Linked DNA regions of Macaca fascicularis. The protein of the gene in region 1 binds, or shares a complex with, the protein of each later gene. Links are inferred from orthologs where the notes say so. Each region holds a gene or a part of one and is shown on either strand. Other genes may lie near its edges.

Region 1 (5,632 bases):
TATATCCATAGCACAATGTACTGAAAACGGCGGGTGGAAGAGAGGTGCAGGCCTCACCATTGCCAAAGAACTCCAGGGTGAAATGGGGCTGCCGAGGCTGGGCCAGGAGGCCGCACGTGCGCTGGGCTCAGCCTGGCTGATTTTAGAGCCTTACCAGGCTAAAGGCCCCACTCCTGAGGTTCTCATCCTTTGTCTCTCCTTTTCTTGCCACTGTCTTCCTGGATTTTGCAAACTGGGGAACAAACCTCCCAACTGAGTTCTGTAAACCGGATACAAGAACAAAGCAGCAATAAAGATAAGGGAGGAATGAGGTCTCAGGAAAAAAGCAAACCCAAACCTGCTCCTTTCTTGTAGCCTTGAGAGAACTCCACCCTTGCCCTTTGGGTATCTTCCCTCCAGCCCCTGTAGACCATGAGTGAGCAACTGGGGACAATGAAGGGAGACACAGAGCCGGAACTTTAAGGGAGGCAGCGGTGCTTCTACATCCACGAGGCCACAGGACAGGCTCACCTGGGAAGGAGGAAGGGGAGCTGGCTCCTTCTCTGGTTGACGGAGGAGCCAGCAGGGAGCTCCTGTTTCCTCATCTGGGGAGCTGTGTAGGAAAAGATAAAACTGAGGAAGATCTGCCCGGGTACTGTGGCTCACGCCTGTAATCCCAGCACTTTGGGCGACTGAGGTGGGCAGATCACTGAGGCCAGGTGTTCGAGACCAACCTGGGGAACATAGTGAAACCCTATCTCTACTAAAAATACAAAAATTAGCCGGATGTGGTGGCACATGCCTGTAATCCCAGCTACTCGGGAGGCTGAGGCAGAATGGCTTGAATTTGGGAGGTGGTGGTTGCAGTGAGCCAAGATCGTGCTACTGCACCCCAGCCTAGGCGACAAAACAAGGCTCTGTGTCAAAACAAACAAACAAACAAACTGAGGGGGATCTGAAATCCTCCTAGGTTGTCACTCACATATTGAGACAAATGCAAAACAAAATCTAAGAGGAAACCAGTGCTAAGAGTCTCCTAGGCTGGGCACGGTGGCTCATGCCTTTAATCCCAGCACTGTGGGAGGCTGAGGTGGGTGAATGCCCAGGAGTTTGAGACCAGCCTGAGCAACATAGTGAGACCCTGTTTCCACAAAAAGTTTAAAAATTAGCTGGACAAGGTGATGTGTGCCTGTGGTCCCAGCTACTTGGGAGGCTGAGATGGGAGGATCATCTAAGCCAGGGGAGTTCAGGCTACAATGAGCTATGATCACATCACTATACTCCAGCCTGGGTGACAGAGCAAGACCCTGTCTCAAAAAAAAAAAAAAAAAAAAAAAAATCTGCTAGATGGAAGGCCCTGGAAAACCTGCTTTAAAAGAGTGGGATGGGGATGGAGAAGCAGTGACCTGAGAACATTTAACGGGCAAGGAGGGTGCAGAGTCCCACTTGGAGAATACACTGCCTCAACAGGTGACTTTGTCACACTTATAATGCCAGGAACTGCCTTCTGAACTGGGAATAGGGATATTCTCATTTGGACGGACACTCCAGCTCTCACAAGACACATTCTAGAGAAAGGAAATTGTAGATGCAAGAAACATAGTGTCTTTAAAAACTAGTGAAACTTAGGGTTATATTGAAATAAATAAGGGCCAGGCGCAGTGGTTCACACCTGTAATCCCAGCACTTTGGGAGGCTGAGGCAGGCAGATCACCTTAAGTCAGGAGCTCAAGACCAGCCTGGCCAACATGGTGAAACCCCATCTCTAGTAAAAATACAAAAATTAGCTGAGTGTGGTGGCGGGCGCCTTTTATCCCAGCTACTTGGGAGGCTGAGGCAGGAGAATCGCTTGAACCCAGGAGGTGGAGGTTGCAGTGAGCCAAGATTGTACCACTGCACTCCAGCCTAGGTGACAGAGCAAGACCCTGTCTCAAATACATACACACATCCATAAGGATATAGATATCATTTTGTTTTGGCTAATTATTTTATTTCTTGTAGATATGGGGTCATCCTCATTATGTTACACAGACTCCTCTCAAACTCCTGGGTTCAAGCAATCCTCTTGCCTTGGCCTCCCAAAGTGCTGGGATTACAGGCATGAGCCACTGCGCCCAGCCCTGATTGCTTTTCTTTTTTATTGGTCATTAGCTCGCATAACAACAATTCCTTTGTTCCCTTCTTGATTAAGGAGGAGGAATGTGGAAGACGGATGGGTTTGACCAGCAGACAGAATATGAGTTATAGAATATAAGTTCTGTAACCTTGAAAAATTCAGCGTTATCTTTGTCCACAGTTAAAACTTCTTTTTTTCTTTTATTTTTTAGATGGAGTCTCGCTCTGTTGCCCAGACTAGAGTGTAGTGGCATGATCTCTGCTCACTGCAACCTCTGCCTCCTGGGTTCAGTCGATTCTCTTGCCTCAGCCTCCCGAGTATCTGGGATTACAGGTGTGTCACCACACCTGGCTAATTTTTGTATTTTTAGTAGAGACAGGGTTTTGCAATGTTGGCCAGGCTGGTCTCAAACTCATGACCTCAAGTGATCCTCCCTGCTAGGCCTCCCAAAGTGCTGGGATTACAGGCATTAGCCACCATGCCTAGCCAAAACATCAACCCTTCTTACCAGCGAGGAAAGCTAGGAGAAGTAAGATCCGATGGCCCTGAGCTCTGGGAAGGAGTGGGTCACAGCACTGGATAGGTTGTGGGTCTACTTCCCAAAGCATTGCTGTCTGCTGAGCTGCTGTGCTATGTGGACTGTCAGTGGGGAGACCTGCTGGAATGCTCACAGCCACCTACCTGCAGACCGCCTTTCCTGGTTCCTCCCCGTGCTGCTGTGTAGAGGGAACAGGTCCCAGTTTACTCTCTGGCTCCTCAGGGTGATGTAAACAGCCCAACATGGAACTCTGGGGGTCCCCATCAGAGTCTCCTAGCCTTGGGGTCTTTAGGGGTTTTGGAGGACAGAGTCTGTCTCCTGTTTTAGAGATAGAGGAAGATGAAGGAGTGGGGGATACAGCCACTGCCATGGCTGACAACTGAACACAGCAAGGCCACTGCTGTCTTGAAAGAAAGCAGGCTCGTTCCAAGGGCATGAAACCCCCGCTCTGATGCTCACCTGGTGAGCGAGAGATGGACTGGAACCCCTATCAAAGGTGGGACTTATGAGCTTATGTGGCCATGAGATTCAAAGGCTTTTTACCTATGGACTGGCCGGAGCTGAGGCTGAATCAGGAGGTGGCCTGGCCTGGCTCCAGATCACACAGAAGAACCTGGCCTGGCCGACTCTCTTTCTGGGGAAGTGGTAAGGGGTGTGTAGTGGGTCCCAGCTCAAACAACTCTGCAGAGGGGTCATTCCTGTCTTCTCTACCAAACATCCCCTTTCATGAGCCTGACTTCTTCCCTTCTCAGCTTTTCTGCAAGTATCAATGTCCTGGGTCATCTCCCGTCTCCCCCACTACAACTAGGCTGCACGCGAGAAGGGGCCGAATCCATCTCACTTTCTGCGGGGTCCCAAGTGCCTGTAAGAGCATCCTGTACACTGTTGGTGCTCAATAAATACTTAGGAGATGATTGGATAAATGCACACCACCAAGTGCAGACAAGACTAAATTATGTACTACTCTAGTGTGCTGAGACATCTGTGAAATAGCCATCCTGGGAAAACTGGGACTCACAGTCAGTGGGTGCTGAAGAGGTGATGCTTTGGCCACGTCCTGGGCCCTTGCATTTCTGCACTAACTTCCCCATCACTGAAAGCAATTGCGACGTGTCTTCTTCCGGCATTTAAGAGGCTAAAGATGCTTACTGACATCTTTGTATACATAGCACGGTGGCTCATGCCTATAATCCCAGCACTTTGGGAGGCTGAGGCAAGTGGATCACCTAAGGTCAGGAGTTCAAGACCAGCCTGGCCAACAAGGCAAAACCCCATCTCTACTGAAAATACAAAAATTAGCCAGGCATGGTGGCACCCACCTATAGTCCCAGCTACTTGGGAGGCTGAGGCAGGAGAATCACTTGAACCCGGGAGGCAGAAGTTGCAGTGAGCTGAGATTGCACTACTGCACTCCAGCCTGGGTGACAGAGTGAGACTGTCTCAAAAAAAAATTAGTATGTATTATATATTATATATAAGAATACATATGGATTCATATTTAACATATACATACATATAAAATATATTATGTTTACATATTACATATTTATAATTATAAATATATATTAAATTATATATTTCTAATATATCAATATATTATAAAGTTATGTACTTACATATTTACATATGATGTATATTATATATTTATTAAATATATACAGTATATATTATATATCCCACTATATTGCCAGGTTGTTCCATGTGATCTAAAGCCAGGCCATGCCACCTCAGGATTCAGCCTCAGCCAAATATGTAAATATATATATTTATACATACATATTTATATATGTATTTATGTATTATATATACTACATATATATATATATTTTCTTTTTTTTAGACAGGGTCTGGCTTTGTCTCCCAGGCTGGAGTGAAGTGGTACAACTGTGGATCACTGCAGTCTTGACCTCCTGGGCTCAAGCCATCCTCCCGCCTCAGGCCCCTTGAGTAGCTGGGAAAACAGGTGTGTGCCACCATGCCCGGCTAAGTCTGTTTTTGTTTTTGTTTTATAGACACAGGGTCTCACTATGTTGCCCAGGCTGGTCGCAAACTCTGGCACTCAGAGTTCGTGACCTCTGTCTCAGCCTCCCAAAGTGCTGGAATTACAGCCATGAACCACTTTGCCTGGCCAGCATCTATTTTTTGAATTAAGAAAACTCACTTACATTGAAGCTTTCAATAGTGGCTGGCTTGTAAGACTTCCCCAAACCTGGCTCCACCTAATCATGTATTCAGTGCACAAATGATAAGGGTTGACTCTAGTGAGTTCCACACCAGATGCCGTCCTAAGAACTTGTGTGTGTTAAGATAAAAGCTTAAGGCAGGGTGCTGCTGTTATGCCTGCCTTACAGAAGTAACATTGAGCAATTCAATATTATCTTTGTCCATGATTAAAATATCAGCCTTTCTCACAGCCTGTAATCCCAGGACTTTGGGAAGCCGAGGCAGGTGGATTGCTTGAGCTCAGCAGTTCAAGACCAGCCTGGGCAACATGGCGAAACACTGTCTAAAAAGTAAGAAAACTAGCCAGACATGGTGGCGCACACCTGTAGTCCCACGTACTTGAGAGGCTGAAGCCGGAGGATGACTTGAGCCCGGAGGAAGAGATTGCAGTGAGTCTAGACTGCGCCACTACACTCCAGCCTGGGCAACAGAACTAGAGCCTGTCTCAAAAAGACAATTAGGGGCCAGGCGCGGTGGCTCAAGCCTGTAATCCCAGCACTTTGGGAGGCCAAGACAGGGGGATCACGAGGTCAGGAGATCAAGACCATCTTGGCTAACACGGTGAAACCCTGTCTCTACTAAAAAATACAAAAAACTAGCCAGGCGAGGTTGCGGGCACCTGTAGTCCCAGCTACTCCGGAGGCTGAGGCAGGAGAATGGCGTAAACCCGGGAGGCGGAGCTTGCAGTGAGCTGAGATCCGGCCACTGCACTCCAGCCTGGGCGACAGAGCGAGACTCCGTCTCAAAAAAAAAAAAAAAAAAAAGACAATTAAATT
Region 2 (5,261 bases), on another chromosome or scaffold:
GCCTCCCGAGTAGCTGGGACTACAGGCGCCCGCCACCTCGCCCAGCTAGCTTTTTGTATTTTTTAGTAGAGACGGGGTTTCACCGTGTTAGCCAGGATGGTCTCGATCTCCTGACCTTGTGTCCGCCCGTCTCAGCCTCCCAAAGTGCTGGGATTACAGGCTTGAGCCACCGCGCCCGGCTGAAAGCCTACATTTCAATCAGTTCTAGAAACTGGCTCACCCATCTACCTAAAGATAAATGAACACAATTCCAGCTCTCTGTACTGACAAGTAAACTCCATGCAAGGTTTCCAGATGGCAAGAACCTTGACTTATGACAGTAAGTACTTAATTTTCAGAATAGCGCTTTTCAGTTATCAAAAGTATAAAATTCTTCTGCCAATGAAGAAAGTGAGAGAGAAATAGAAGCTGATAATAGATGCTCAGGAAACTGGCAACCAACTTATACCAACTTACATATGTCCAAGTCACTACATTGAGGAAACCTCCCTTTCTTAGGTCATCAGACTCTCCCAAGTATCATCGCAAGGACTGCAAGAGTACCTTAAAATTGGTTTACAATTATTTACCTAAGGTAAATCTGCTAGAACAAATTACTGTTACCACCAATGACTGTTGAAAATGAAGACTCACTTTTTTCTACAATCTTTAATTTCTGGAAGCTCTCCAGCACCTCCCCATTTAGTATTCTGGGTAAGAAGTCCCGTATTTGCATCACTTCAGTTGTCAGCCGTTCCAGGTCCTTCTTTCTGACTTTAACAAATTCCTCTTTAGTACCTATGTGCTAAAAGAACAAGCAGATCTTTTATTTCTCTTCACATGACAAAAAAAAACAGCCCAAGTCAACCTGCTTTTCTTTCACACCTCTTATGTTCATTGTTATTTCAAATCATGTCTCTACCTACTGTATGTTCTGCTATAGATCTATTTTATGTATATGTAAACATTTTGAAAGCTGGAGCTTTCTAACGTGAAAGCTTCACGTTAGAAATAATAAAGAGAAAACAGGCCAGGCATGGTGGCTTACACTTGAAATCCCAGGAATTTGGGAGGCCAGGAGTTCAACACCAGTCTGAGCAACATAGAGAGACCCTGTCACTACAAAAATATGAAAACGTGCCCAGGATGCCGGGCGCGATGGCTCACGCCTGTAATCCCAGTACTTTGGGAGGCCGAGGCGTGTGGATCACCTGAGATCAGGAGTTCAAGACCAGCCTGGCCAATATGGTGAAACTCCATCTCTACTAAAAATACAAAAATTAGCCAGGCGTGGTGGCATGCACCTGTAATCTCAGCTACTCAGCAGGCTGATGCGGGAAGAAGGTTTGAGTCCAGGAGTTGGAGGCTGCAGTGAGCTATGATCATGCCACTGCCCTCCAGTCTGGGCAACAGAGCAAGAACACGAAAAACAAAAGTCATACAAGAGCTCTATTCCTAAAAGTCAAAGAAAACGCCTGCAACTTTTTATCATTGCAGCACCAAACTAATCAGGAGAAAAAGGAAGTCATCTAGACTGGTTTCCCACTGGGTTTGCTAAGCCTTCTGCCCGTGATCTCATCTATTCACCCCAAGCCTCCAAGATCGTCCAGATGGAAATTAAGGCACGGGAGCTTGGTGACTCTCAATGCAGCACAAATAATAAGGAGTGGAAGCAGGATGTGAACACGGGTCTGGCCCCAGAGTCCAAGCGCCTTCTCCATCGCATGCAATCAGTTAGTTATAAAATCGATGGAGGGGCCGGGCGCAGTGTAATCCCAGCACTTTGGGAGGCCGAGACGGGCGGATCACGAGGTCAGGAGATCGAGACCGTCCTGGCCTACACGGTGAAACCCCGTCTCTACTAAAAAATACAAAAAACTAGCCGGGCGAGGTAGCGGGCGCCTGTAGTCACAGCTACTCGGGAGGCTGAGGCAGGAGAATGGCTTGAACCCGGGAGGCGGAGCTTGCAGTGAGCTAAGATCCGGCCACTGCACTCCAGCCTGGGCGACAGAGCGAGACTCCGTCTCAAAAAAAAAAAATAAAATAAAATAAATAAAAAATCGATGGAGGGCAGATTCTGAGACTGACGCTGTCTCGCTAAGTCCCGGAGCACGGGGCCAGGGCCTTCGGAAGGGAACTGGGCTTCCACAGGGCAGAGAGAGGTGACCATCCATCCCACGCTCCCATGCCCACTTTGGCGCCATTGAGTGCCCCCACCGCGCGCAGCCTCACAGACCGGGTCCCCGCGTGGGTTTGGAGGCGAAAGTCGCCTCCCACCCACGTCTTCGCCCCGCTCCGGCCCAGCTCACGCTGTCCGGGGAGGAAGTCTCCAGGCCTCCCCCAAGCACACGACAGCAGGCCGTCTCCGAGCGCACTGGGAGCGGCCCTGAGGGGAGCGAATGGCGACGGCTCAAACACGCTGGCGGTGGGCAGGGCTTCCTCACTGACCCTGCAGGCCTTCTCAGCACCGCCCGCTTCGCCCATAGCAGCCGCGGCCTCGGCTCCGTTCTCCTGCGCGGCGGCGTGCCCTCTGACCCCTGACGCCAGAAAGCGCGGGAACGTGTCCACGCCGGGGGTCGGGAACGGAGAGGCGCGAGGCTCAAACCTCGCAGAATTTGCGCAGTATTCTCGGCCGAGAGCGCGAGGAGTGGTCTTGGCGAGGTCCCACTTTGGCTCTTCTGGCTTAGCCCGGGTTTTAAATTTAGCCGGGGTTATCTGCAAAGCAGAAGGAAAGTCAGCCCCTGATGTAAGTGTCAAGTAAAATAAATCGGAAGAGTCCTTTCCTGTTTGGCGAGGAATGCTACACTAAGGGGGACCGTTTCAAACTGGCAGTCTTTGCTGGAAACCTCGCCTCCGCGGTTCGCCTTCCCTCGCTCGGATTCAGGCGCTTTTATGTTAAGGGTTGAATTTTTGTGTCAACAGGCACCTCGGGAGGTCGCCCACATAACTGAGCGGAGCAACTGAGATAACCCCCGCTACGTGTGGAGTGACCTAGTCCATTAGCTTGCCCCGGCACGCCCGCTGAGTCCGCAAAATATAGGATGTTCTTGGGTTTTAGATGAACCCAAAGCTAAGATTTCTTCCCTCTCTGGAGTTAGCAAGCAGCCCGCCCTGCCCAACTCCCCTGGAAGCGCGCGTGCTCTCCAGGCTTCGGGACGCCGGCGCGGGTGCCCCAGCACTGGCACTAGGGCTCCAGAGTAAGGGGCGCGCCGACCTGCCCGAGCCTCTGCAGGCGCTGGCGGAAGGTGAGCCCTTCACCCGCTCAACAGGCCCCAGTGCCGGCCTTTCCTTCCAGTCTCAACTCCACCCTGGGGCCCGGGGGCTCCACAGTTAAAAACTCCGTGCCACGGAGATCGCAGGTGAGCTGCTGGCTCAACGGGGTGTGCTAAATGGGATTAAAGATCCTAGACTGTGGCCAGGCGCCGTGGTTCAATCCCTTAATCCCAGCGCTCAGGGAGGCCGAGGCGGGAGGATTGCTTAAGCCCAGGAGTTTGAGACCAGCCTGGACAACATAGCGAGACCCCATCTCTACAAAAATAAAAAGTAGTGGGGCGTGATAGCGCGCGCCTGTAGTCTCAGCTACTTGGGTGGTCGACATGGGAGGATCGCTTGAGTCTGGGTGGTCGAGGCTGCAGTGAGCCAAGATCACCGCCAAGATCGCGCCCCTGCACTCCAGCCTGGGCGACAGAGGGAGACCCTGTCTCAAAAACAAAAAATCCTAGACCGTTTACAAACAGCCGTCCGTCTCTTCCTGGCCAAGTCCTAACCCTGGCTAACCTCGCCGTGTACAGCCTGAATTTTGGCAACCGAAAGGCAGCGCCGGCGCCACTCGCACAAGAGATGGGCCGCTCCGCCCGCTGCCAGGGCCACGGCCGCGCTCACTCCCAGAGCGCGCTGCGAGCCGCGGCGCCTTTGTGACGCCATCAACTCGCGCGCCGTCGCCGACTTCTGTGCAGTCGAGGCCCTGGCGGACGGCGGCTGGCTGCTCCGCGGCGCTCGGCTGGCGGCATCTGCACCGCGGGTTGCGCGGCCGGGGATGCTCCAGCGGGCGCGATGGCCCCCGCCATGCAGCCGGCCGAGATCCAGTTTGCCCAGCGGCTGGCGTCCAGCGAGAAGGGCATTCGGGACCGGGCGGTGAAGAAGCTGCGCCAGTACATCAGCGTGAAGACGCAGAGGGAGACAGGTGGGCGCACGGCGGCGGTCAGCCGCGCCACATGGCGGGCCGGGGGCCGGGGCTGGGGCCAGGGCCCTGGCACGGAACGCGGCTTCCACGTGTTGTCGTGACACCCAGCGTGTGCTTAGGTTTCCGCGCTGCCAGAACCGCTTCTTGCTGTGTCTAGTGCCTTTTTACACTTGAGGAAACGGGTTGAGGGTGTTCCGTTACTTGTGAAAGTCACAGTAAGCGGGAAAGCTGAGAAAAGACCCAATGGGTCCGATTCCCCAGCCGGCATCTCGAATCACTGGGCTGCCCTCATTTGCCCTGGTGTCCGGTCGGTGATTGCCGCCTTTCTTTGACCAGCACCTTTACGTGCCGGGGCTGGAGGAGAGAAGACAGAAGCACTACTCTCGAGGATTTGTTAGTAATAAAGCAAGGAGGCAAACAGGCAAATAAAGTAGACCTTGTGTAAGTGTAGTAAAGGAAATGAAAACCAGGTAGTAGGCCGGGCGCGGTGTCTCACGCATGTAATCCCAGCACTTTGGGAAGCCGAGGCGGGCGGATGACCGGAGGTCGGGAGTTCGAGACCAGCCTGGCCAATCCAACATGGTGAAACCCCGGCTCTACTAAAAATACAAAATTAGCCGGGCATGGTGGCGCATGCCTGTAATCTCAGTACTCGAGAGGCTGAGGCAGGAGAATCGCTTGAACCTGGGAGGCGGACGTTGCGGTGAGCCGAGATCGCACGATTGCACTCCAACCTGGGCAACAAGAGCGAAACTCCGTCTCAAAAAAAGAAAGAAAGAGAGAAAGAAAGAAAACCAGGTAATAGCAAGAAGTGAAGGAGGTTGCTCTTCTTGATAGACTGTTCTGGGAAGGCCTCTCGGGTGATGTTCAGCTGAAATCTGAAGAGAGATGAGCGGAAAGCGCCTATGCAGAGGCAGGAAAGAGCTTCACGTGCCCTAGGAGTGGTTTGAAAGACCAATTAAGTTGTGGGTGGGCGGGGAGAGTGTGATGAGATGAAGTTGGAGATTGTAGGCAGTGGCCAGATCACACAGGGCTTTGTAGTGTAGATTTTAACGGCACTGCTGTTGAATGATTTCATTTACCTGATCCAAGAATATTT

What was found.
Region 2: the proteins of BRME1 (region 1) and HSF2BP are in contact, whole or in part, in a crystal structure (PDB 7Z8Z), measured with the Mus musculus proteins. The link is inferred for Macaca fascicularis from reciprocal best matches to the Homo sapiens genes BRME1 and HSF2BP. Residues at the interface, in NP_083321.2 of Mus musculus: Met541, Gln542, Asp543, Ala544, Thr545, Val548, Arg549, Leu551, Val552, Leu555, Ser556, Asn559, Ile562, Met563, Thr565, His566, Leu569, Lys573; in NP_083178.1 of Mus musculus: Glu23, Phe24, Val25, Lys26, Val27, Arg28, Asp31, Leu32, Arg34, Leu35, Glu38, Val39, Gln41, Ile42, Phe45, Leu46, Arg48, Ile49, Glu53, Leu54.

What each region holds. Positions count from the first base shown.
Region 1 is NC_088393.1:14,313,308-14,318,939, forward strand, and holds part of BRME1 (break repair meiotic recombinase recruitment factor 1), read right to left. Parts: intron 2,952-5,632; coding exon 2,777-2,951; intron 593-2,776; coding exon 511-592; intron 260-510; coding exon 155-259; intron 1-154. UniProt on the Homo sapiens protein: Meiotic recombination factor component of recombination bridges involved in meiotic double-strand break repair.
Region 2 is NC_088377.1:3,423,011-3,428,271, reverse strand, and holds the start of HSF2BP (heat shock factor 2-binding protein), read right to left. Parts: upstream 3,866-5,261; 5' UTR 3,757-3,865; intron 2,695-3,756; 5' UTR 2,464-2,694; coding exon 2,428-2,463; intron 785-2,427; coding exon 634-784; intron 1-633. Other genes in the region: RRP1B (ribosomal RNA processing protein 1 homolog B), read left to right, coding at 4,033-4,162. UniProt on the Homo sapiens protein: Meiotic recombination factor component of recombination bridges involved in meiotic double-strand break repair.